Saccharomyces cerevisiae S288C: one gene and its partners. Changing the gene in region 2 together with the main gene of any one other region gives a genetic interaction. Each region holds a gene or a part of one and is shown on either strand. Other genes may lie near its edges.

Evidence for each region.
Region 1: mutations in SPF1 (region 2) and SEC66 together harm fitness more than expected from each alone (negative genetic interaction), as found in Saccharomyces cerevisiae (5 studies listed by BioGRID).
Region 3: mutations in SPF1 (region 2) and COG6 together harm fitness more than expected from each alone (negative genetic interaction), as found in Saccharomyces cerevisiae (5 studies listed by BioGRID).
Region 4: mutations in SPF1 (region 2) and RVS161 together harm fitness more than expected from each alone (negative genetic interaction), as found in Saccharomyces cerevisiae (5 studies listed by BioGRID, with this or other methods).

The regions. Positions count from the first base shown.
Region 1 is NC_001134.8:576,211-580,632, forward strand, and holds SEC66 (Sec63 complex subunit SEC66), read left to right. Parts: upstream 1-2,153; coding exon 2,154-2,774; downstream 2,775-4,422. Other genes in the region: NPL4 (nuclear protein localization protein 4), read right to left, coding at 134-1,876; SMY2 (Smy2p), read right to left, coding at 2,940-4,422. UniProt on the Saccharomyces cerevisiae protein: Acts as a component of the Sec62/63 complex which is involved in SRP-independent post-translational translocation across the endoplasmic reticulum (ER) and functions together with the Sec61 complex and KAR2 in a channel-forming translocon complex.
Region 2 is NC_001137.3:86,545-94,562, reverse strand, and holds SPF1 (ion-transporting P-type ATPase SPF1), read right to left. Parts: upstream 4,306-8,018; coding exon 658-4,305; downstream 1-657. Other genes in the region: MCM DNA helicase complex subunit MCM3, read right to left, coding at 4,711-7,626; MTC7 (Mtc7p), read right to left, coding at 7,965-8,018. UniProt on the Saccharomyces cerevisiae protein: Endoplasmic reticulum translocase required to remove mitochondrial transmembrane proteins mistargeted to the endoplasmic reticulum.
Region 3 is NC_001146.8:546,610-553,870, forward strand, and holds COG6 (Golgi transport complex subunit COG6), read right to left. Parts: upstream 5,379-7,261; coding exon 2,859-5,378; downstream 1-2,858. Other genes in the region: YNL042W-B (uncharacterized protein), read left to right, coding at 504-761; BOP3 (Bop3p), read left to right, coding at 1,491-2,681; YNL040C-A (uncharacterized protein), read right to left, coding at 5,869-5,949; YNL040W (putative alanine--tRNA ligase), read left to right, coding at 6,771-7,261. UniProt on the Saccharomyces cerevisiae protein: Acts as a component of the peripheral membrane COG complex that is involved in intra-Golgi protein trafficking.
Region 4 is NC_001135.5:127,887-133,241, forward strand, and holds RVS161 (amphiphysin-like protein RVS161), read right to left. Parts: upstream 3,657-5,355; coding exon 2,859-3,656; downstream 1-2,858. Other genes in the region: serine/threonine protein kinase SAT4, read left to right, coding at 584-2,395; ADY2 (Ady2p), read right to left, coding at 4,387-5,238. UniProt on the Saccharomyces cerevisiae protein: Component of a cytoskeletal structure that is required for the formation of endocytic vesicles at the plasma membrane level.

The DNA of each region.
Region 1 (4,422 bases), on a different chromosome or scaffold from region 2:
TTTGGTAAGGGGACGTTCTAGAAACGTCTACTATTTTGGATGATTTACATAGTTTTAAAATAAAAAAGGCTCAATTTTACCTTCCGCGCATTTCTATTTTTTTAATCTAAAACCTCAAATCTTACAGTCTCTCCTAGCCGCTTTCCTGAAGGATCATGACTAACGTTTGCCAACCAGCCGATGAGACAAGTTTTAGTAGAGATTCTTCCCATTCATTTTTCACAGCAGATTCTATTAGTAACTTCCATTCGTCTGGAGAGAGTATCTGCAGAGAATTTATGTATAATAGTAAATGAAAGTTCGAGATTTTTTCATGCAAAAGATTGAAATCTCCACTTGAAGCCACATTGAATAAATACTTTTTTAATTCTTGATAATCTTGAGATTGCCCCATAGCTTGTCGATTGCTCCATGGAAATCCGGTGGAACTAACGAATTTCGAGTTGGTTTCCGTATCGGTATTCGGGAACCCATGAGTCAGCGTCACTAAAAGATAGTCTACCGGAAATGCAGGCTTCGCATTTTCCTTCACTGTTATACCATATTCATTCGACTTCATGTAAAATATCTCAGGTACATATCTTTCATCTGTAGTGTCATTAATATATGCCATTGAAGGAAATGTGGACCCACTTATCATATCTGCAGTAACCAATGCTTCAGCTTCTGTGGATACTTGGTAGCTCGAAATATCAATTTCACCTTCCAAATTACCTGATATAACGCAAGTTACAAACTTGGAAGAAAAAAAACCTTGTTCGCTATACTTGCTTACATTAGGATGCCTTGTTTGATGCCTAGCAGCCATAATAACTTCTAATGATGAAAGAAAAAACGAATCCTTATGTCTTTTGCAAAAAACAGACCCATCCCCAGCTCCCGCGTCAGATAAATCTGTAAATATTAGGCCAATTCGCGAAAGCCCCATTTCTTGAGCCTGTCTATCAATCTGTAGCATTTCATTCTTGACCTGTTCTACGTCCATGGTTAAACCGTCTTGCTCATCATGCTGAGGGGGCTCGTATATCGCCTCAACGACGGCCTTTATACCTAAAGGTGTGTTATCATACTTAGAATAAGATCCGTACATATAGCCAAATCTTTGCATACCCGTGTACCTCCACGCCTGAATAAATTCATTAATTATTTCACTCTTCTGAAATTCAACGTGGTCAACCATTCTAAATTCTTGCTGTTGTAATGTAATTGCCGATGGTTGACATTTAGAACATATCCCCCGAGGCCATGGTTCATGGCCATTATGGCAACGCTTATTGATTCTAAAATCAGGTTCTGAAAGAGGGGAAATATAAGAGCTGCCGTTCTCCTTCTTATTAGCATTTTCATTTAGCTTTTTAAGATATGAATGAAACGATATATGTTTGATCTTATTCTTCTCATGATATTCTTTGTCCCAAGGAGGTAAAGGCGAGCAGTATTCACACATACCTCTATCACCGTGCTTGCATAGTTTTGATTTTTGACGAGGAATTAATCCGTCCTCTTTCTCTAGTTCCTCATCTACAGCGAGTTCTTTGATCCTTAGTGGACCGTACCTGTGTTGACGAATTCCCTTGCTGTCAATACCTACGGATCCGATTTCAACATTGACACCATCTTTCTCATTAGCGGGCTTGTCCGAATAGTTAAGGATCAGCATGTCACCGTGCTTTAGTCCTAGATCCATCACTGTTCGATCAGCTAGTTCAGAAACAGCATGAATACCTTGACCGGGCTTCTCACAAACAGTAAATGTGTCGACATCGGCATTGGGGTCCAGATTACCCACCAACTTTTCAATGACCGTTCCGAAAAGGTCGTTTTCTTGACAAGAAACCCTGTGTGTACCGTTTTTTGATCTAAATCTGATAAGCATACTTCACTTAAATGTATATCGATATCAGTAGTATAGGGAAATTTTTCTTCAGAGTACTGTCCTATTATTTGCCACTCTTCGTTCTGTATGTTACGAGGGCGTTCCTTAAAATGGGTAGACGCATCTTATTACCCGCCAAAAAACGTCAAAAGTTTTAGGAACACGTCTAAAAGTTGAAATAATATGTGAAAAAATTGATGAAATATTAATGAAATGGCTTATTTAAACGAATTCAAGTACAGGAAAGAGGTACGCACAACTACTTGAGTTTGCCAATATGTCCGAATTTAATGAAACAAAATTCTCCAACAACGGGACGTTTTTTGAAACGGAAGAGCCAATTGTGGAGACGAAATCAATCTCCGTTTATACCCCACTCATATATGTCTTTATTCTGGTGGTGTCCCTTGTGATGTTTGCTTCAAGCTACAGAAAGAAGCAGGCCAAAAAAATTAGTGAGCAACCATCCATATTTGACGAAAACGATGCCCATGATCTGTATTTCCAAATAAAGGAAATGAGTGAAAATGAAAAAATTCACGAGAAGGTGTTGAAGGCCGCTTTATTGAACAGAGGAGCAGAATCTGTTAGACGATCATTAAAGTTAAAAGAGTTGGCTCCTCAGATAAACCTTCTATATAAAAATGGCTCTATTGGGGAGGATTACTGGAAGAGATTTGAAACTGAAGTTAAATTAATTGAATTGGAATTTAAAGATACTTTACAAGAAGCTGAAAGATTGCAACCGGGCTGGGTTCAATTGTTCGTTATGGTTTGTAAAGAAATTTGCTTTAATCAAGCTCTCTCTAGACGTTATCAATCAATCTTGAAACGGAAAGAAGTGTGTATTAAAGAGTGGGAGCTGAAAATAAATAATGATGGAAGATTAGTCAATTAGTGCCTACTGTGTGCAAAGATATGTATTCGCTCGTTCAGTGTTTTTTTAAAAATATGTATAGAATTTGTCATTATCTGCGTTAAAAAATAGTTATAAAGTATATACAATAACAATAAATGATAAAGAAATATGCAGTGAAAAGAAAAAATTATGAAGCTTTTCCTTTCAGTGTTTTCTACCCTTCTTCTTGCTCACTACTTGGAATTCCCAGCCGTCGTCATCATTGCCTGATAGAGCTAGCGCTTCATTCCAACTTAGTGGATCATCACCTTGTTTTTCGCACGCAACACGTCTTTTAATAAATTCAGTGGCAAATCTTCTACCATCCATAACGTCACTATTGGCATAAATTGTTTCTTGAATCAATTCTTTAGATTCTGGCCCCGTAGGTAAACTCAATAATAGTTCTAAGACATTGTTATTGGTTATTCCAGAATTTAATTTCATCTGTGATTTACACCATTTGATAAATTCTTGCCGGGGAGAAACATTGTTCATGCTAGCAAAGGTAGTGGTAGTAGAAGTTGTGCTAGTTTTTGCCGTTAATGAAGAATTTAAACTGGTATTGGTTTTTGAATATGGGGAGACAACGGTTCCTATAGGTGCTTTCCCTTTAGAAGTCACCGTAGTCCAAGAAGATGTGGTAGTAGATGCAGAGGATGTGGACTTTACTTGTTTGGAAGAACTCTGAACCTTTTCCCATAGTTTTTTCTGCTCTTCTATGAAATTTGGATCTTCCAACTCCTTTAACGGAGACGACTCTTTCATCCCTTTTGGGCTTTTTTGAAACTGAGATTTAATATCAATAGTTTGATTCGATGGTAGGCTGGACTTGTTAGCCCAGTTAAGCACGGATTTTAGTTCCTCCTTTTGCTTTTCTTCTTTGCTGTTCCTCTGTTGTAGACCTAAGGGTTCTCCTTTCTTCTTTCCAGTGCTACTTACACCATTTTTAATTGAAGTTTCGATTGCATTGTTAACTTTGACTTTTGAGGCCCATGGTGCCGGATTCGCGCTTGAGGAATTTAATGAAGGCAAATCTTTTGATGTCTTAAAGCCTTCTGTTTGTGTTTGTGTGTCCTTTTTTGTCTTTTCTGATTTTTTTTGCTTTTCTGCTTCCAAAGCTTCTTTTTCCTTTTGTTCCTTTTGTTCCTTTTGTTTCTTCAATAAATCATCCTCTTTTTGCTTTTGTTTCTTCGATAAGCGAGCTTCTTCCTTCCTTTTGAGTTCTCTGTTCCGTTTCTCTTGTTCATCCAATAACGCTTTTGCTACAGATTCGGATTTTTCCTTCTTCCCTTTTTCCAGCATAGTGGTCGATTTGTATTCTTGCTTGTGAGATTCATCTGTTTGACTAATGGTGGTTGCTGAGGCTAATTTAATATCGACTCCCTTGGAGGTGGTACCTCCATCCATATCCCAGATATTGTCATGTGTCAATGGCTTGAAAATATCGTTTTCAGTAGCTTTAATAGTGCCAGTAGCGGCAACACCGCTTGCGTAAGGAGCTAGATTCAAGTTGATAGAATCAGAGCTGGTTGTTTGAACGTGAAGTTTGTCAAAAGTAGTGAATGGATCCGTATCATACTTCTCGAGTTTAGTCATTAACTCACCAAGTGTGATGAAAATATCGTTTATTCCTAGCGTTTCTGGA
Region 2 (8,018 bases):
TTAATCGCCATGATTTTGAAGTTTGCTAATCTTAGTTAAATAATCATTTTTGAGATTTGTTCTTTTTTTGATGTTCTACGTCTGACCCTTTAAAGGGTGCTGCAATTTGACTTAGCATCTCCCCTGCAAAAATCAAAGTAAAAATTTAAGACCCGATTAAACTATTCCTGTGCTAAACCACTCAGTTGGAAAATAAATTGTGTAACTAGTCCAAGTCAAGATCTTTGACAGACCGTGTTCAAAGAATCTCGTGGTTGTTCTGTTTTCTTAATTTTTGTTAACCACCTGTAGCTTTACTAGAGTGCATTTAAGCGGGACTTGTTGACTGGTATTTCATATCATAATAAGGCACGGTTAAATTGGCCTAGTAATGAATTTACTATAGCAGTATGTTTAATTATATTGCTTTCCCAATTTATATGTTTACTTTTTTTAGGCGCAGAGACCTGCTTAGGCGATATGTATCGTAAAAACATAACCGTAACGCTAGCAACAAAATATAAACTTGAAGCTATTATAATTTTCGTATACTTAGAAGCTGTTTTACAAATAATACAGCACTTTCATAAACTTAACAATACACCCATTAAAAAAGATCTATATGAATGGGTAATATAAGTATATAAATACAAAAAGGGGTACTACATAAAAGATTTATCATTTAGAGGCAATCTTGACCTGTTGCACAGAAATGTCTGATGGTTTGTCGTCCATGAAGAAAAACTTGAAAAAATGCTCGACACCCCAACTACCAAAGAAATCGAGCAATAATGTTAGGGTCAACTTAATCTTAAAGTCATCAGTCATTGGCACAAACTTCATGGCTTCGTTTAGCTCAGGTAAAAATTCAGTAGCACTTGCAAGTGCCAAACCTGTCACACCCAATAAACCATAATACATACCTTTGTTACTCCTAATGTTTTCTCTGAATGGCTCACCTTGATAATTGACAGCAAATGTAGAGACTTGTTGTACCAACTGAATGATGAAAATACCCGTATTCAATAATGATGGAGCAAATTCCTTTTCAAGATCAACTTGTGGCTCTCTGGGTTCCAATTTATAAATCTCTGTAGTGATGTAAACTAAAGTGGCAATATGAACGGCAAATTGAGACAAAATAGATCCCATAATGTAAACATTGAAAATTCCGGACTGTGGCCTTTGCTTGGATAGTTTTTCTAAAGGTTTACCACGGGAAATACTCAAGAAACAAACCGATAGTAACAAACCGGAGACAGTGGCTTGACCATCACCAAATTTGACACCAGCCATGTAAATGATGGACAAAGAGTAGGCACTGATTAAACAATTCAAGGCCAAGATTTTGTACATTTGAATTGTGTTAACTAAAGCACAACGGCCTTGACGTATAATGTTAGTAACAGCAGAAACATTGGCCAGTTTCGAGGTAAAAGGGGCAGCGCAAGATGCATCTCCTAACTTTAGAGCTGGTGCTTCATCACCTTGGGCATCACCAGCAGAGTTCAACAACAAAGAAGCTAAGTCAGCAGGTTTTTTTTCCGATAGTCCATTTGGTTTGATGACTTCAACAGGTTTGGAATTTGCTTCTTCAACTGCTTTTCTGATTTCTGGCGTAATGACGGTACCTTTGCTTTCTAAAGCTTTCAGATAATGAGGATTTTTTGGACCAGGTGGGAATAAGTGTGCAATCGGTTCAGGAACAGGTGGCTGTGGTTGATTCCATCTAGCCATAAATTCAGTTTGCTTTATATACATCATTTTCATACCTTCCAATCTGCGTTGTTCACCCAATTTTTTCAAACCTTCTTCGGTACCATTCAACAATGCAATACCAACATGAGCTTGTTTCAAAGCACCAACATCATTAGTACCATCACCGCACATTAAAGTTTGATATCCCATATCCTTTAGTGTATTCAGCAAGAACTCCTTTTGGGATGGTGAAACACGTGCGTAAACCCAGGTGTGACGTAATAGATCCCTTAATTGAGAATGCCCTTCCAAGGCATTCAAAGCATATCCAGTAACAGCAATATCATATCTATCAAATAATTTAGAATGATCAAAAGTGTCTTTTGATGGATCAAATGGGATGGAAACTGTCTCTTCAACATCACGGAACAGCAACTGATTGTCGTCAGATTTACCTGCTCTGTCTAAGATTAAAGTTTCGCCAAAAACTATGCCAACTTCTTTAGCCACATGAACAGCAGTTAATGGATTATCACCAGTAATCATAATAGAACGATGGGAGGATTCATTTAACATTTTAATGGTTTCAATAGCGTCATCCTTCAGAGGACAATGGAAAATCAAAAACCCATTAAAGGTTAATTCAGATTCAACATCATCACGGTTTAGATCATCAATTTTAGACTGAGACATTTTTGGCAACGACTTAGAAGCCAAAGCCAAAACTCTTGAACCAGAGCGTGTAAAGGATTTATAGATTTCGTCATAATTCTTGGGAATGTCAGAAAGCCTTTCACGAATCGTTTCAGGTGCACCTTTGACAGCAGCAAACAAGGCATCGTTGTGAGAAGCAATAGAAGCAGACCTTTTTAAAGCAGAAGAAAATTGAAATCTACGGATAATATCCAATTTTCCGGTGCCCTCTCTATAGTTACTGTTTTTTCTTTCGACAGCCCAACCAACAGCCTTTAAGGTCGCCTTTTCCATTGGGTCACCAACAATATCACCATCTTCCAATTTAACTAAAGCGTGAGCAGCACCAATGACAAGAATTGTACTTTCTGGTGCTTCGGCAGCGCTGTACAAGTGACGAATGTTTTCGGAGTCCGCAGAGATACCAGCTAGACCTTCAAACACAAGATCTTCGCCGGTCAAAGTACCAGTTTTATCGAAACAACAAACATCAATTCTACCAGCAAATGGAATTCTAAATGGTTCAGTACAATAGACATAGAACTTGGCAAGGGCGGCCAGAGAACTGTTGACAGCCATGGTCAATTCCATTGGTAACTCAGGAGGAACAACAGATGTAATAATTAATATACAGTCCAAGATCAATTTGGATTGAATTCTACCCATTTTTGTACCCTCAACCCAAACGTACCAGGATGCAATAACAGCGAAAATCAACAAGAAAAGAATGAACATCAACGCTTCCTTATTATCGACGGAAACACGTTCAGCGGAGTAAATCATAACTCGAACTAAAGAACCCTGAGATGTTTCAAAGCCAGTTTTGGTGACGATGGCTAAGGCACCTCCATCAGGTGGAGGAGGGATATCCGATTTATGTTCAGGAGGTGTTACTTGTAATGCCTTTGTACCACCATGTAACACAGCAATCTTGTCAACACCGTCCAGTTGTAAATTATCTTCACTAGGACGTAATTTAATGGATTCCTTTAACAAGGGAGTAGATTCACCTGAAAGCATTGCTTCATTAACAATAGCGGAGCCATCGAGCAAGATCAAATCGCAAGGAATTGCGCTCTCCTCGGCGGTTCTTGTTATAGACACTAAATCCATAGGTAACAATTCATTGGTTTGCAATGCTACCCATTTTTTGTTTCTAAACACGTTAATGGTATAAGGTTTGATACCCATAGTTCTAAATTCCTTCAAGGCAGTTAATCTTTGAAATACTGCAGCTGCCTCCATGGAGATAATCATGAATAAGTTAAACAAAGAATAATACCAGAACTCATCCAATAGCCATAAGGCAACACAGAAAACTTGGAAAACAAACAATGGCGCAACAGCGTGCTCTTTGAATAATTCCATAAATGTTGGAATAGGAATATCAAAACTATTCTCACCATATAGTCTCTTCAAATGAGTTAGGTCACCGGAATGGCCCTTACATTTTTGGAAATCACCGATCTTTGGGGATTCATCAACAAGGAACTTTGGTGAAGAAAATACCTGCTCATTTTCATGCCACAAGAATCTTTTCTTTTGAAATTGGAAAAAAGTCTGCAAAGAGCCCGCTTCAGTTACTCTCTGAATTTCAACGATACCATCAGAACCATTATTTGGAGTGGTGTAGATGAGAATGTGAGTAGCTTCATTGACATTTTTAGTAGTACTGTAGTTGAATTTCGCCTTGATCTTGACATTCCAAGCAGGCATTAACATGACTAGGATGTTCAAGGATACCAATGTCCCCAAGTAGACAAAAGTCCACTCAGGTCCTTTGATGTAACGATCATATTGCTGGAAATATAGTTGGGCAAAGGTAGCGTATAACGGGAAAAACGGTAATACGTACGGCTTTGCTATTAATGACTTTGGTACCAGCAATGTCGAGTCCCTAACAATAGGACTGCTCACAAATGATTTCTTTGTCATTTACCGATTCCTATGTTTCTGTAGGTCTGATATGTCAACTATGTCTAGAGCTAAAAGCTTGCTAAAGCTTCATGTTATATGGTGGAAGAGACATTGCCACTTGGCTTTATTCAGAACACGCGAAGAGGAAGAGAAACGCGTAACGTATGGCGTGACAAGAAGCCACGAATGAGCAAGTAAGATAAGCCAAAGTATCACACATATTCATTAACAGAAGATATAGTGCCCCATAACTGCTTACAACACATTCAAACAAAAGAAGGAAATAAGCGTTTTAATACATAATTCTTTAATACACGAATAACAATTAATGAACTAAATAATCTGGAAATGAACTGAAAATTATGAATGACAAAAAGAAAAAAAGCCAAGAATGGAAGTCTTTTAGTAAACATTCCTGTGACATCAGACTCTCCAAACTTTATCGTCAGCAACCATTAAGTTATTTCTGTCCGACATGATCTTCAAACCTGCTAAATATTCTTGAGCGGAGAATTTTTCCTCCTCCGGTAGTTCTTCGTTGATTCTTTCGAACAAAGAGGCCACAGGATAGGATTCTTCTTCAAATATTTCTGTTTGCATCAGACGCGCAATAATACCTGAGATTAAAGACAATCTACCAGTAGAAATGGTACCAGGCTCCACATTGTCAAAAGAAATAACTGACTGTTGTTGCTCATCATCCTGACCTGCAGAAGATACGTTAGGTAATCTTGGAGTACCGACCTCGGTAAGAGGTCCCGACGAACCTTCCTCAGGTGCGTGAAGATGTTCTCTACGTCTTGGAGACACTCTCAACCCCAGTTGAAGCCTTCTTTGTAATTCAGCTTCCTCATCCGCAGGAAGCGGTGACATTATATCGTTATCGTCTTCACCAGCGTTCTGTTCGTCATCTTGAAAACGTAATATTCTGCGTGCTGACGATGGCGTGGCATTAACGGAAGATGCCGTTGACCTTCTTGGAGTAGATTTGATTGGGGATCCAGAGTTGCTTGCTGGTTGTCTGACTCTTTGTCTTTTTTTCGGTGATTTCTGTGGAGACCTCTTCGACAAAGCTTCTTCGTATTCACTTTCCTCTTCATCGATATCATTGCCGATATCCTCACCCAATAGTGCAAACCTTAGTAGATTGGCAGCCACTTTAGCATCCACCTTGTTGACTGTTTTGGATAACCTGACTTTGGCGTGAGCTGTGGCTAATCTGATCAAAGTCTCCAAAGTTCTTGCAGTAATGGGCGATTTTTTGGTATTATCATCGTTTCTTAAATCAGTATAATTTTTCACAATAACATTGATGGCTTCTTGTGTTAACTGTGGAATAACCCTTTCCTTGGCATATTGAACGTACTTTCTTAAGAATGGGATGGTGACTAGCTTTGGAATTTCTGTACCGTTATAGTTACCTTTGTTTTTTGCTAACTTAGCACCTGCTTGTAATAAGGGGTTGAACTTTTCGAAGACATGGTCTTCATCATCTTCTCCTTCATTTTCTACACCAGCCCCGGAGTTGGAATGCTCTTCAGGATTTATATCTGCATCCTCCCCAACGGCTAATGATAAATTCAAACGCTCTCTCACAGGTTCACCCTCTAAATAACCTGGAGGCAAATATCTGTGTGTTCTTAAGACATGCTCACTAATGGATCTATCTCTGATTTCATTGATATCGTCTGTCACAACAAATAGTAAATCAAAACGAGACAACAGCGAGTCCGGTAGGGCAATGTTTTGGTGTGGATCTCTATTGACATCGTACTGCCCAAAAACGGGATTTGCGGCAGCAATAACACTACAACGAGCATTTAATGTTGTGTGAATACCTGCTTTGGCAATCGTCACCGTTTGTTGTTCCATTACTTCATGAATGGCGACTCTATCCACATCTGTCATCTTATCAAATTCATCAATACATACAACCCCGCGGTCAGCAAGAACCATGGCACCAGCCTCTAGTCTTCTTTCACCTGTTTCCCTATCAGTAGTGACCGCTGCGGTCAAACCGACACCGGAAGAACCTCTACCAGTAGTAGCAATTGCCAGTGATGCTGTATTCAACACAAACCTTAGCAATTGGGACTTGGCAGTGGATGGATCACCCACCATTAGGATATTGATGTCACCTCTTAAATGCGAGCCATTTTCTAAATTTTTCTCCACACCTCCCATGAGCATCAATAAAATGGCTTTCTTTATATGGTCATGTCCATAAATAGAAGGCGCTAAAGATTGAGACAAGATATCGAAAATGTCCTTTTTTTTGGATAGTTTATTGATATTTCTTATATCGAAATCTGTCAACATTTGTCTCGCAGCGACACCCGTGGATCTGGCGTGGAGAGGATACACCGTATTACCTAGGATCAGAGTTTTGAACCCGATCAATGTATTAGAGTTGGACTGGTTCATGCCACCAGCACCAAGCGACTTGAATACCCCGACAACGTTAACTCTGTCACCTGGCTTGGTCTTGTCCACAAGGTCGTCATCGAGAATGACGTCAATGGACCTGGGAAGTTGGCCAGCGGGGGCCATTTCGGGCATTTCTTGCACAGTGATACGCTGATGGTCTATGAACGTACTATACCCATATTCGGTGGTTAGTTTGTTACCTTCAGTGTCCTCCGTTGGATAGATGGCAGGCGTTGGGATGCGGGTGGTGAGAGTTGTAGTAGCATCTGTATAATCTCTGTAATGGAATCTACCAGTCTTTGCCGCGTAGTGGACAGATCTGATAAGCTTTGGCCTGACCAACGAAGTCTTAGTTACGATACCCTCAACAGAGACCAGTTTGTTTAAATGTTGTGCCGTTAGAGTACGAGGAGACAATGCGTGTGCACCAAATGAGCCTTTGAACGAAAGCTTCCAAGGATGGCGAGACGATACTGCAGAGGCATTGGGATGTGGAACATCGTCCATGGAATCTGCTAGGTCAGTAAGCGCCTTTTCGGCAGGCGGGATGAAGTATGCTGGTTCGACTAAAATGCCCGACCAGAACGACCTGTCGAATTCTCTCAAGTCATCAAGCGAGATGATAATCCTGTGAGGGAGTATATTCAATGAGGTGGACGATGCTGCTTTCTTTTCCTTTTCAAGATCATCACCGTCGTCATCACCTAGCAAATCTCGTTCGTCTGCGTCATCTTGATCATCGTTGTAGTTGGCCGCGTTATTGCTGTTGTAAACTTGTATGGACCTTACAGAGTCTCTGTATGAGGTGAAAGTATCTAAAAACTCTTGAAATCTGCGCACTCTGTCACCAAACACAGCGTCTGGAGCGAAAAAAGTAGTAGCGTCTCCATCAAATCCCGTTGAGCCTTCCATAATTGACGTTTGTATCTTTTTGGTGCGCTTATAGTGGAGTTCAATACGAGCAGTAGGATGAAAATGCTTCAAGGAAAAGAGCGTAGGCCTTTTCAACTTGAAAGAAGATTAAGAACCTATCTTTCGAGTTTTGACCAAATTTTTCTTTTTTTTCCTAAAACACGAGTTTTTACCCATTTAGGAAAAGTAATTGTTTCTTCTACCGCCTCGATCTGACGAACAAGGGAAATTGAAAAAAAAGAGAAAAATAACGACAACTGCAGGACTCGAACCTGCGCGGGCAAAGCCCAAAAGATTTCTAATCTTTCGCCTTAACCACTCGGCCAAGTTGCCATAACTCATTGAAAATTCTGTTTCCCACATAGGTCAAAACTAATATTTCCCTTGGCCTG
Region 3 (7,261 bases), on a different chromosome or scaffold from region 2:
CTTTAGTCAGATTTAGATCCTATATAGATTATATGGGATAAGTAACATTCCGTCAATCAAGCTGCTCTTCTGACAGGTATTAATATTGTTAAGACGGCTAGTATTGACTAACTTCATGACACAACCACTGTTGTATCTCAAAATGAGATATGTCAGTATGACAATACGTCACCCTGAACGTTCATAAAACACATATGAAACAACCTTATAACAAAACGAACAACATGAGACAAAACCCGACCTTCCCTAGCTGAACTACCCAAAGTATAAATGCCTGAACAATTAGTTTAGATCCGAGATTCCGCGCTTCCACCACTTAGTATGATTCATATTTTATATAATATATAAGATAAGTAACATTCCGTGAATTAATCTGATAAACCGTTTTGACAACTGGTTACTTCCCTAAGACTGTTTATATTAGGATTGTCAAGACACTCCGGTATTACTCGAGCCCGTAATACAACAACCACACGAAATAATCGGGCGTGTGGTCTAGTGGTATGATTCTCGCTTTGGGCGACTTCCTGCCTAAACAGGAAGACAAAGCATGCGAGAGGCCCTGGGTTCAATTCCCAGCTCGCCCCGTTATCTTTTTTCACCATCAGGGCGGAATTTTTTTGTTTAGCATCAATCAACCTAACCTCTCATGCTTCTCCAAGCTGAAAGAAGTAAACTCACTCTATGTACGTGTTGCAACATATATCTGCCAAAAGAATGAAAGTAGGTTCAGAACAAACAGATTGAAAGGAGACCAGTAAAACTATATGGGGGGGGTTGTTCTTCCCGCCTCCTTCTGGGATTATGAAGACGCGCTGATCTGCTATAGTTCAACGTCCTTTTCGCTTACTATTTCTGGTAAGAAATATAAGGAATTCTCGGATTAATTACTTTTCTCGAAAGGGGATTCCGAACACCTACCGGAAAAAAATAGCAGCCCTTAAGGGGAGAGTACGGCTCTTGGCATGACGGGAGGCAGGACAGCACTAAAGGCAGACTAGTCACTGAGCGCTCCAAGTTGGGTATGATAGTATCTTCAAGTTTTGGTCGAGTAGCTATTCCTCTTCTTCAAAGCCACTTACGCTTCGCCCAATAATGTCATGATTTACAAATAAACCTTCCTCTCCGAACCCTTAAAAGTAGGCAAATTGAGAAAATTTTTTGCTCGTCTTTTTTTCTCTCGTTTCGATTACCTTATTGGGAACTTCTCGAAGAACTCGGCGAAGAGGTCCAGAGGAAGATTACTGACTATCATCAAGCCTTGTTTCTTTTGGCCTCTTCAGTAAGCTGCAAATGCAGTATTGGCTTTTTTAAAAAAGAAAAAGAGAAGGAAAGCGGAAACTAGTCTTGTTGCTCTTCTAGTGCAGTTGTTGTTTGTTCATTTGTTTCTTAATAACAGTCAACGAGAAAACTTGCGCGTGCAGTAGGAAAATAAGTAGCAAATTACATTACATGGAAAACTTGCAACCATCTGTGAGCACAGGCGACCAATGAGTACTTTCAACAGTTACAGCCAGCCAAAGGAAAGCAATGATAATAGTCATAATAATGTCAACAAGAGCAAATCGCTGTTAGATATAATATTTGGTACTAATGTATCGGAATGGGCTTTTTCTGAGAATGCTTTAATGAAAGCTATGGATTTGAAAATAGAACAAGAAAAGACTAAGCAGCAATATTATAAACTTGAAAACTTGAATCGTTCGATAGAGTTGTTTAAGCTTGCTTCCAGTTCAGGTCTGCCCATAAATCAAATACATAAACTATTCAACACCGACCATGGCGTACCGGCGTCTTCGCCGATGAAGGCAGGGGGCAATCAACCACATAACAATACAGAAGGCACGCAATCTTCAGAAAATCTGCCCAGATTGAATGGTTCTATGAAGTCATTAAAACCTCTAAATATGAACACAGTGTCACCAACTCCAATGAGTCGACAGCCCTCTCCATATAAGTTTCCAGCATCATCCTCTACCGGCGGTATATCACACTCCACAGTTACAAATGTACAACGAAGAGCTAATTCTCCTGCAAGAATAGGTGCATCCGCAGTTGCTGCGTTGAATGACAATATTTCCATTAAGGAGGAAGATGTGGCTAGGCGAATTCCCTCTGGTACAAAATCTCAAGAATCGCCTTTAAACAAGAAGCCGACTTCTCTTCACAGCCGTAACTTGTCACTTCCAATAGGAAAGTTCACCAATCCTAATATTCCTTCTACAATGACATCCATACTAAGTTTCAATAGAGACCAACAGCAGCCGCTATCTCAACCACTGCCTCCTCCTCCACAACAGCAACAGGATCTCCACACGCACAATTTACATACTATACCAAGGAAACCTGGAATGGTTCAAAAAAAGCATAGGCGTGCAAGATCCACATCCTCCTTTGGAGTGATCGATTTAAGTATTATCGATGAAGCAAAAGAAAAACAAGTACAGAGATCACCATCCCCTATACATTCTAACGTGTCCGTAGCACTTACCTCACATGACAAACCAATTGAATCCAATATGAAGGAACAACCAAATATGCTGCAATCGGTTCGTGAAGGACGTCAAGTACACGATGACTTGGATGACAGAACATGCAGTGAAAGCAGTAGTAGAAACGAAAGCCCCGTAAGAACCATCACAAAGGATAATTCTGTAGGCAAGATTTTAAATAGTACTTGAGTGATCATTATTTTCTTTTTGATGTTCCCCCTACGTATGTATACACCCATATATTATATAGATACCCGCCGCATACCAACATAAAAAAGGTAACAAATATTTGAGATATAGAGCATCGCTACATTATGGGCAAGATGCGTCTTTGTGAGACGATTTTAAACAGAAGTTGTTCATCTCTCAGTGATCAATACCTATCAACATGTCAAATTCATCAGTGGAAAAATTTAAAATTTCGAATACCTGATCCTTCTTGTTCGGATACAAATGAATCAACAGTTTCCTGAAGATATTATAAAATAGCGACAACTTCTTGAAACATTCATCGCATATTTCATCAGCTATCATTGGTGACGTTAATTTAAATAGTAAATTACCTTGAACATCTGTTAACGCCTGAGGTAGATAATAGTTCAACTTATCATGCACATTTTTTCTGACCATGTCTAATTCCATCAATGAATTATCCCTCAGGGCTAAGTACATATCATAATCCAATTCATCCTTTACTGAGTCCACAGGAAAAATCATATTGACCAAATTGCTGTAAAGGTCTAAACCTGTATTCTCAAATAGGAATTTTATTTGTAAAGTTAGCATTTGCTTAGTATATTCCTTCAGTTTATCACAAACCCAGATGGTGATTTTCCGGCTGTCATCATCTTGTGCAAACAATCCCTCAAAAGGTTGAAGTCTAGATTTAATTAAATCGAAACAGTTTATCTCTATAGTTAGCAATGATGCCTTTTCTTTTTCATTTTTTTTCGCCAAAGGAAAAGATGTTTGCAATTGTTTTAACAGAACATCTTTTATTGGTTGTTCTACAATTGTTTGTAAATTCTTAGATGAGAGCAATTTATTATCTTCTGATTCCTCATCTTCGGCAGCATGTGTCTTTTCATAAATTTCAAATAACTCTACCAATTTATTCATATACTCTGATAGCCACTCTGGTGGCAGTAAATCATCTGAAGAATTTTTTGTTTCCGCCATGACTGTTTGCTTCATATAGTCTTCATAGTATCCAATAATTCTGTTTTTGGAAATGTCTTCCAACGACTTTAAATTGTTAATAATAGAACTATCGTCCTGAATTCCCTTTCTCTCGAACATAACTCTGTAAAGTTTCAGCAGCCTCACAATCTCGAAATTGATGATCGGATTTTCTTCAAACCTCACGATTTGCTCGATACGAATACGACACGAATTGGATAGCGACTGGATGATATCGTTCAGCAATTTGTTGTCGATGCCTTTCAAGAATGTCTTGTTTTGTTGAAGTATAGAAATTGGGGTATCTTTTAAGTCTTCATCCTGAAAGTCAAATAGTGACTTCACGAAATCAGCTTCATTTGCGATGATGGAATGAACGGACGCTAGTACGTCACCAATATACCTAATTGGATCGTGTGCCGATAATATGATGGGTTTAGAGGTAGTTGAATTCATATCGAATTGAGACAAAAACTCATCCAGAATACTCTTGGATCTCAGTGTGGTCACTCTTTTCAACAACTCATTAAATAATTCTAGATCACTTGACAGGAAGACCAGACTCTTCCGAAAAATGTTTAAGCTTTCTTGTTCAGTAGTACCATGGTCATTTAATAAATTTGAAGAGGATTCAAAACTATATAAAAAATCGATCAAATAATTGAAGATTTTTTTGTTTGTCTTTTCTAAAATTTCATTAACTCCCATTATCAAAGCATTTCCAGCATTCAAATTAGGAAGCGTCAGCAAGAAACTTGATTCATCTTTAATATTGATTACTTTCTTTACTACCTCGAAAAAGATGTTGTCTATAGTACCATTGGTGATTACATCGTCCTCTACCTGATTCAAAGTAAACCTATCCCTTATAGATAACAGTATTTTTTTTTTCAGCTTCAACTGCTCTGCCTTTAAACGGTATTGATCTATTTCCTGAAGTACCACGTTATTTGTTGGAACCTCATTTGTCTCATTACTTAGTAATTTTTCGCTCGTTCTTTGTATTTTTTCGACGGAAGAAGATAATCGTTTAATCCTTCTAATGATAGGTTTGAATTCCTCAAGTACCGTAATATGTTCCTTTAGCAGTTGAGATTCCAAATCAGTCCTCAATGCTCTTCTTGCCAAAGTACCTACATATTCAGGATTCATGAGCTTTTGTTCATCAAGGGACAATCTCTCTTTATTCTCTTCTAGAACCTTTAGGGATTTTCTTAGTTGGACTGTGGCCTGATAGTTAATCAATGTGTAATTGTTCAATATCTTGGATAGTTTATTCGAAAGAACCAAATTTGTGGTATTTTTGTTGGAACCACTTGACGGGGATACTAATTTTGATAAATCAAGGTTTTTTGGCTCGTAATTCGTGAAATTTTGAGATTCTTGCTGCGATAGTTTTTCATCCTGGGAATTTTGCCCTAATTGTTTGCTTGGATTTGAAAGCTGTATTTTATCAATGGAAGACATTGCGTAATGTGTCATTTTCTTATGTAGGTCTTTCGAACCAGCACCATCATTATCTACTGGCAAAGTTGCATTATTATTGGAATAACGTTGAAGGTCGGGCAACTTAAACTGTAGATCTAGTTTACCGGTGGGCTGTGACTGTGCATCTGAGGTTAAGTTTAGTCTTGGCTCAGGTTCTGGTAATTCTGGCGTGGCAGTATCCGCCATTGCGTAGGTCTGATAGTCTACAACGAAATCCATTGTGAGTAAACTTCACTGGGGATTTTGTTACGATAATGTACAATATACTTCAGATACTACAGCTTTCGGATGAATATTTACTAGAATGAATTACTACCTTAGATGTATATTTTGTATGAAAGCGTCATTACGCCAGTTGTATGTATTTTGTCGTCTGAGACGGCAGGTGATATATAAGTAAAATGGAAGTATAAACGAACAGAAAGCAATCATTAACAATTTACTTATAGATTTCGACTAACATACGCATCGGTAGGATTAGATACCAGTTTTTGAAATCCAATTTTTCCCTCGTATATGGAATGTGCTGAGAGTTTTCCTCAGGGATATGCGTATCAACAAAAGAGAGGTGGTAATACATGCAATCATATAGCGGTTTGTTTCTTTAATACTATATGTTGTCACTTATAATCCTGTTATATTATTGATCTTTAGGTTTCAGCTGATCCTTCTAATATCCCTCTATTGGTTTCGTAATTCGTGTTATCCTTTAAGAAGATCCTAGCGACATAATCATACTATCAACTGTTATGTTACCGTTTGGTGAACAGTTGGCTTTTTGCTCCGGCATTTTTGATTAAAAATAGGCTCTTGTTAAGCTACTGGAATTTTTCTATATTACCAGGCTACTCTTGATATGGCACCGGAATGTAATAGGAGTTACAAGACCATTTCAAGTTAAAGAAAAATTACTGGAAAAAGGGTAGTAACGTACGTGGACGAAATAAATAAGAAGGACGTAAATTTAATACAAATGCACAAGTAAAGTTATCGGCTCCTATTCTTCACTAATTCCATGCATATTAAGAACTGCTGGAATAAGAATTGACCGTTGCTTATTGACTAGTGGCCATGTTACTAGTATACCTATCACACACAATGTAAGAAAGTGACATAAGCCATGAGATACAATCTCAAATCTAGTAAAAGCCGAAATACAAGAACTGATGATGTAACAGAGTAATGCATAACAACGTGCAATGCAAAGGAAGAAATAATAGTGTTATTACGTAGGACATTGATTTCCTGTCATGACTATTATATCCTCAATGAGCGCATATAATGCATTCTGTATATTCAATAATACCACCTTATCAAATAACGAATACCATCGATTATCAGTAAATTCATGTATCACTCGCGTAAATTCTGAAATTCAGCCCACTAGGAAGACGTTTATATCAGTTTACTTTTGTACAAGTGACTTATTGCAAGCAATTTGTACGAAATATGCTTACACTTTTCATTAGTAAAAGAACCAACCACCCATCATTAACATCTTTTTATTTTTTATCCTTATCGTGTAAAAAAAACTTAAGAATAGACATCCTGGTGACGCATATCGACGAAAGCACACAACAGCGTCAAAAATTGATTAAAAGGTAAGTTATCATGCCCACACCTATGACGCCTGTCAAGGTCGGCGCTTTAGCCTGCCAGAGGAACTCATTTCTCTTCGATGGGTTCAAAACACTGGTTGTTTCTTGCGAACCAACGAAGAATAAAAAGGGAGAGATTGAAGGTTATGAGATTGAACTACAAGATACTATTCTGTTCCCCGAAGGTGGGGGCCAACCAAGTGATTCTGGTTTTTTGAAAATTGTTGAAGGGAATCGTAATTCGTCGAAAATTGAGAAGATATTAGTTTCACACGTTTCTCGTTTCGGTTTACATGCAAAGCATCATGTCAATGACTACATTGAGCCCGGAACAACAGTGGAAGTGGCCGTGGACGAGCAAAAGAGAATGGATTATATGCAACAACATACTGGTCAACACTTGTTAAGTGCCATTCTGGAACGCAACTACAAAGTAGACACTGTATCTTGGTCGATGGGTGGTATCATCACAAAGAAAAAACCTGTTCTAGAGCCTAGCGACTA
Region 4 (5,355 bases), on a different chromosome or scaffold from region 2:
TTTCATCAAATCAACATCGGCCTCCCCGTGCTAATATGTTAACAGGCCGAGCTCTTGCCATCTCACGCATTTTCCGCTATACAAATAGTATATATAATATTACAGCTTTTAAAGAGGGAAGAGGAAACGGAGAAGAAAATATACTACTTTATAGAGATATTCGGCAATTTTTTTTAGCAAAAGTTTATTAAACCCTAATATAGACCTTTACTTGGAGTTTCGATTTTAAGAATTTTTTATCATTTTTTTTTTTTGACGATTTCCTGTCGGTTTCGTTATAACCTGTTGTGTTGTTGTTGTTGTTGTTATTGCTGGGTTGTTGTTATTCACTTTAACATTATCGAATAAAATTTGGACTTTCAAAGTCCTGTTCAATAAGTTGTACTAAGCCTTTAAGCGTTTTTAAGTTACAAATAAAAACTGGAAAGCTTAAGGTAGCTTTCTAATATTAGGCTCTCAACCTTTTTTTACTCTCCATTTACCGCTAGATATTAACTAGTAGTAAGTATTGTGACTACTATTCCCTGTAATCAAAAAAAAAGTAATCAGATTTTATTTTATTTCGACATTACCCCTCAAATATATGACTGGTATGAATGATAATAATGCCGCTATTCCTCAGCAAACTCCAAGGAAACATGCGCTATCTTCTAAAGTTATGCAACTTTTTAGAAGCGGTTCAAGATCATCTAGGCAGGGAAAGGCCTCATCGAATATCCAGCCACCTTCTAATATAAACACAAACGTTCCATCGGCGTCTAAATCAGCCAAATTTGGTTTACATACCCCAACCACTGCTACTCCTAGGGTAGTTTCTAATCCTTCTAATACTGCAGGTGTGAGTAAACCGGGCATGTATATGCCCGAATATTACCAGTCGGCATCACCATCGCACTCTAGTTCATCCGCATCATTAAACAACCATATTGATATTAACACCTCTAAGTCATCATCAGCTGCTTCTTTAACTTCGTCAGTATCAGCTTTATCCTTATCACCCACATCAGCCATAAATATTAGCTCCAAAAGTTTGAGCCCAAAGTTCTCTCATCATAGTAACAGCAATACTGCTATTACACCCGCGCCTACTCCCACTGCTTCAAATATTAATAATGTAAATAAGATAACCAATACAAGTGCACCTATTTGTGGGAGGTTTCTTGTGCATAAAGATGGTACCCATGAACATCACTTAAAAAATGCTAAGAGACAAGAAAAGCTAAGCACAATGATTAAAAACATGGTTGGTGCGAGCAAATTACGTGGTGAGGCAAAATCTGCTGTCCCTGATATAATAATGGATCCAAAGACGACTTTAAAATCCAACAAGAATCCTCCTACTCTTTTTGCAGGCTTCATGAAGCAGGTCGTGGATATGGATGATAAATATCCAGAAGGCGCTCCCACAAGTGGCGCTTTAAATTGTCCTGAAAGGGATATATACAGGTCAGATCAAAAAGATTCCAAAAATAATACGCATAATATCACTACTACTAAAAAAGATAGGCAATGTTTTGCCGAAAAGTATGGTCGCTGTCAAGAAGTCCTTGGTAAAGGTGCTTTTGGTGTAGTAAGAATATGTCAAAAGAAAAATGTTTCTTCTCAAGATGGTAATAAAAGTGAAAAGCTTTATGCAGTGAAAGAGTTCAAGCGTAGAACATCCGAATCAGCAGAAAAGTATTCTAAGAGGTTGACTTCTGAATTTTGCATTTCTTCTTCATTACACCATACAAATATTGTTACTACACTAGATCTTTTCCAAGATGCCAAAGGCGAGTACTGTGAAGTAATGGAATATTGTGCAGGTGGCGATCTATTCACTTTGGTCGTTGCCGCCGGAAAATTAGAATATATGGAAGCAGATTGTTTCTTCAAGCAGCTTATTAGAGGTGTTGTTTATATGCATGAAATGGGTGTTTGTCATAGAGATTTGAAGCCTGAGAACTTACTGCTTACGCACGATGGTGTGCTAAAAATTACAGACTTTGGTAACAGCGAATGTTTCAAGATGGCATGGGAAAAAAATATTCACCTTAGTGGAGGCGTTTGCGGTTCATCGCCGTACATCGCCCCAGAGGAATATATCAAAGAAGAGTTTGATCCAAGACCCGTAGATATATGGGCATGTGGTGTCATTTATATGGCAATGAGAACTGGTAGACAATTGTGGAGTTCTGCTGAAAAAGACGATCCATTTTATATGAATTATTTAAAAGGACGTAAGGAAAAGGGAGGCTATGAGCCAATCGAAAGTTTAAAAAGAGCCAGGTGTAGGAATGTTATATATTCGATGTTAGATCCCGTTCCGTACAGAAGAATTAACGGGAAACAAATTTTGAACAGTGAATGGGGAAGGGAGATAAAATGCTGCCATAATGGGCGCGCATTGAAATAAACGAGTACTTCACTTTCAAATATCACGATATTTTGGAACAATTCGGTATTTTTTACTTAATCTAGTACACTAAGGAATGCTTTGTTATCCGGCATTCGTATCTTATTCCTCGCTTCTATTGTTCTACTTTTATATCCCGTTTGGCTGATTACGGATCACGTTCAAATTGGTAAATCCCATTAATTAAAAAAGAATTGTAACCTTATTTAAAAAAAAAAATAGTACATAACAATAAAAAAAAAAAAGATAATAATTTTGAATTTATTGCTAGACATTCTTACGTTTATTGTGTTCATGTTAACAAAAACACATGCCCGCGGTTATTATCGCTTTTTAATTGCTTTCTTAAAAAGAGTCGGTTGGTCAGATAGAGCAGATAGTAAATTATAGTGCTATTTAGGTCTGTTAATTTAAATGAAAGAAACATAAATGACCGTAAAAAACTAAAGGCAAAAGCATTAATTTATTTTATCCCGAGCGCACAAATATCTAGGCTTGTCATTTGTCCTAATAGTTCTTCGATTTTAGTGTCTAATAACCCATTGGCATAGTCGTCTCTTGATTGTTGGTCCAAATATTGTTGAATCTGCGCTAAACGAGTGTAACCATCAGTACAGAACCTTAGCTGAATCTTGATTAAAGCTTCAAAACTTGGGTCAAAGTAAGGTACTCTTAATGAAACTAACTGTGGTAGTTCAGTTTTCAATTGGTTATTAAGATTTTCGAAAATATCTTTAGCTAAGCTCAATTCTTTTTCAGCCCTTGGCAGTTTAGAGGCATCTTTAGCAGGTTTGTCCACTAATCTACGAACTTTTGCCTTCGCAGCATCGAAGTCTTGTTTCTTATGGTCTCTCTTTTTTATGGCCTCCTCAATTTCTTTGAAATACGTCGAAAACTTTGTTATTGGATCTAGTACGGTTTCTCTTAAGGGCCCGTCTAATTGCTTAACAGTTTCGCTATCAAAATCTTGAACACATTGCAAATAATAGTTACCAACGTTGTAACCACCACCAGCAACATATTTTGAATCGTCATAGAGGTTAGAGATGACCTCGGCAATGGTAGTCTGTGATGCTGTCACAGCTCTCAATGAGTCCAAGAAACCTTTGGCTTCCTTTTGTAATGCCTCACCTGCTCTTTGAAGAACTTTATAACGACGTTCTTCCATGTCATACTCTTTATCAATGGTCTTGTCGACATTCTTAATTATCACACTGTGACCAGCTCTGTTGATAGCTTTCTTAAAACCTTCCCAACTCATCTTGTATCAGCTTTCTTCTGGCTTCTTATAATAGGATTTGTATAGTTTTCTATATCACAGCGTTTCCTTTTCTTCTCTCACGTCTGCCTGTTATTAAATTTGTTTTCCCTTTCTTTTAATTCGGATTCTCATAATTGTTCAAAATCCGCGCATTTGGATCGTCCAGCCCCTGCAGCGCCCAGTTCAGCCAACAAAAATTCATAGGGACGTAAAGGAAACGTTTCATGTCTGTTACAATGAAAAAGACAAGTCGAATCACATTATGAATGGCAAACGATAGACCTTTCGTTGCCTTTCAATTACATGATATTCGTGGCAACATCTTCTCCGCTAACCTAAAAGTTTTATCAGAAACATATATCTTATTTTTTCTGAAGTAAAATCAAAGTGCAGGGAAGACAAGTAAAGGAGTCAGCAAAAAAGTGAAGTAAACTTATATGTTAACTGTTTATAACCGTACCTTGCTTACATCATCTATATTTTCGTAATCATTTTTGTACATTGTTTATATCTTGTTTTGAAGTTTTAGCTTTGAAAAACATTTAATTGCGAAGTAACATAATGTTATTAATAGTGTACGACTGAAACAGCCATTCTATTTAAACATATAAAAGTACGATTAGTTGGTGTGGTTATATAAGTCATAAAATAATTATCATATTAAAAAATTGAAAAATAAAAAACTACTCTTTTTTATTTCAATAGTTCTCGTTATTAGTAGGTCGTGCTCTTAAAAGATTACCCTTTCAGTAGATGGTAATGGGAATGGACGAGCCAGTACATATGAATTCTGCTTTGTAGCAACACCTGCATATGCGTTGTACCAAGCAATGAAAGCAACAACAACTCCCAGGACACCACCAGCTCTTGTGACACCAAGTCTATTAGCAAAGTGACCAATAGACAACAGTAGGAAAGTTAATGCTAGTAAGAAGAACAACAAAAAGAACATAACAGTGGATTTCATGGTACAAACGGTTAAACCAAACGTAAAGATGGCCCACCCCAACAAATAAAATCCTAAAGCATTATTCAAATCAGATTCATTGTCTTCGTAAGCTTCCAAGATACCAAACCAAGGAATGTAAATTGCAGCGAAACTCAACCAAAACCCACCGTAAGAACATAATGCGGTACCACCAAAAGTATTTTCCAAAGCTATCTCCCAAATACCAGCAATCAATTGCACCAAACCACCATAAAACATAGCACAACCGACGACAACATTAGGAACAGTGATCCCTTGCGCTCTCGCATTGAACATGGACAGCACAAATGTCGTCAACGCGAAGGCTGAAAGACCTAAGGGCGCAGGATTAGCAAATTTGTGCACTGGAGCAGGAGCTAACCCTGGATTCAAGGTACCACCAAAGGCTTGGTATAAGTCGCTCTTCAAAAACTTTTGACGCCCAATATAGATATATTCATTGTTATCACCTCCAGTGTAAATCTTGCCCAACGAATCATGAGATGGACGTTCATCTTCTGCAACGCCATTAACGTCGTTATCATGGGAACTATAGTATCCTGCTGGTGCATTCTCCAAATCTGTGTTTCCGCTCGTTTGTTCCTTGTCAGACATATTATTTGTTTGTATATGAGTTGTTTTGTGGTTGTTTAGTTATATCTGTGTTAGCTGTCGACTATTTGCCTTTTTCTTATAAACAGATGCTAGTAGTTTCTGTTGTATTGTTATTGC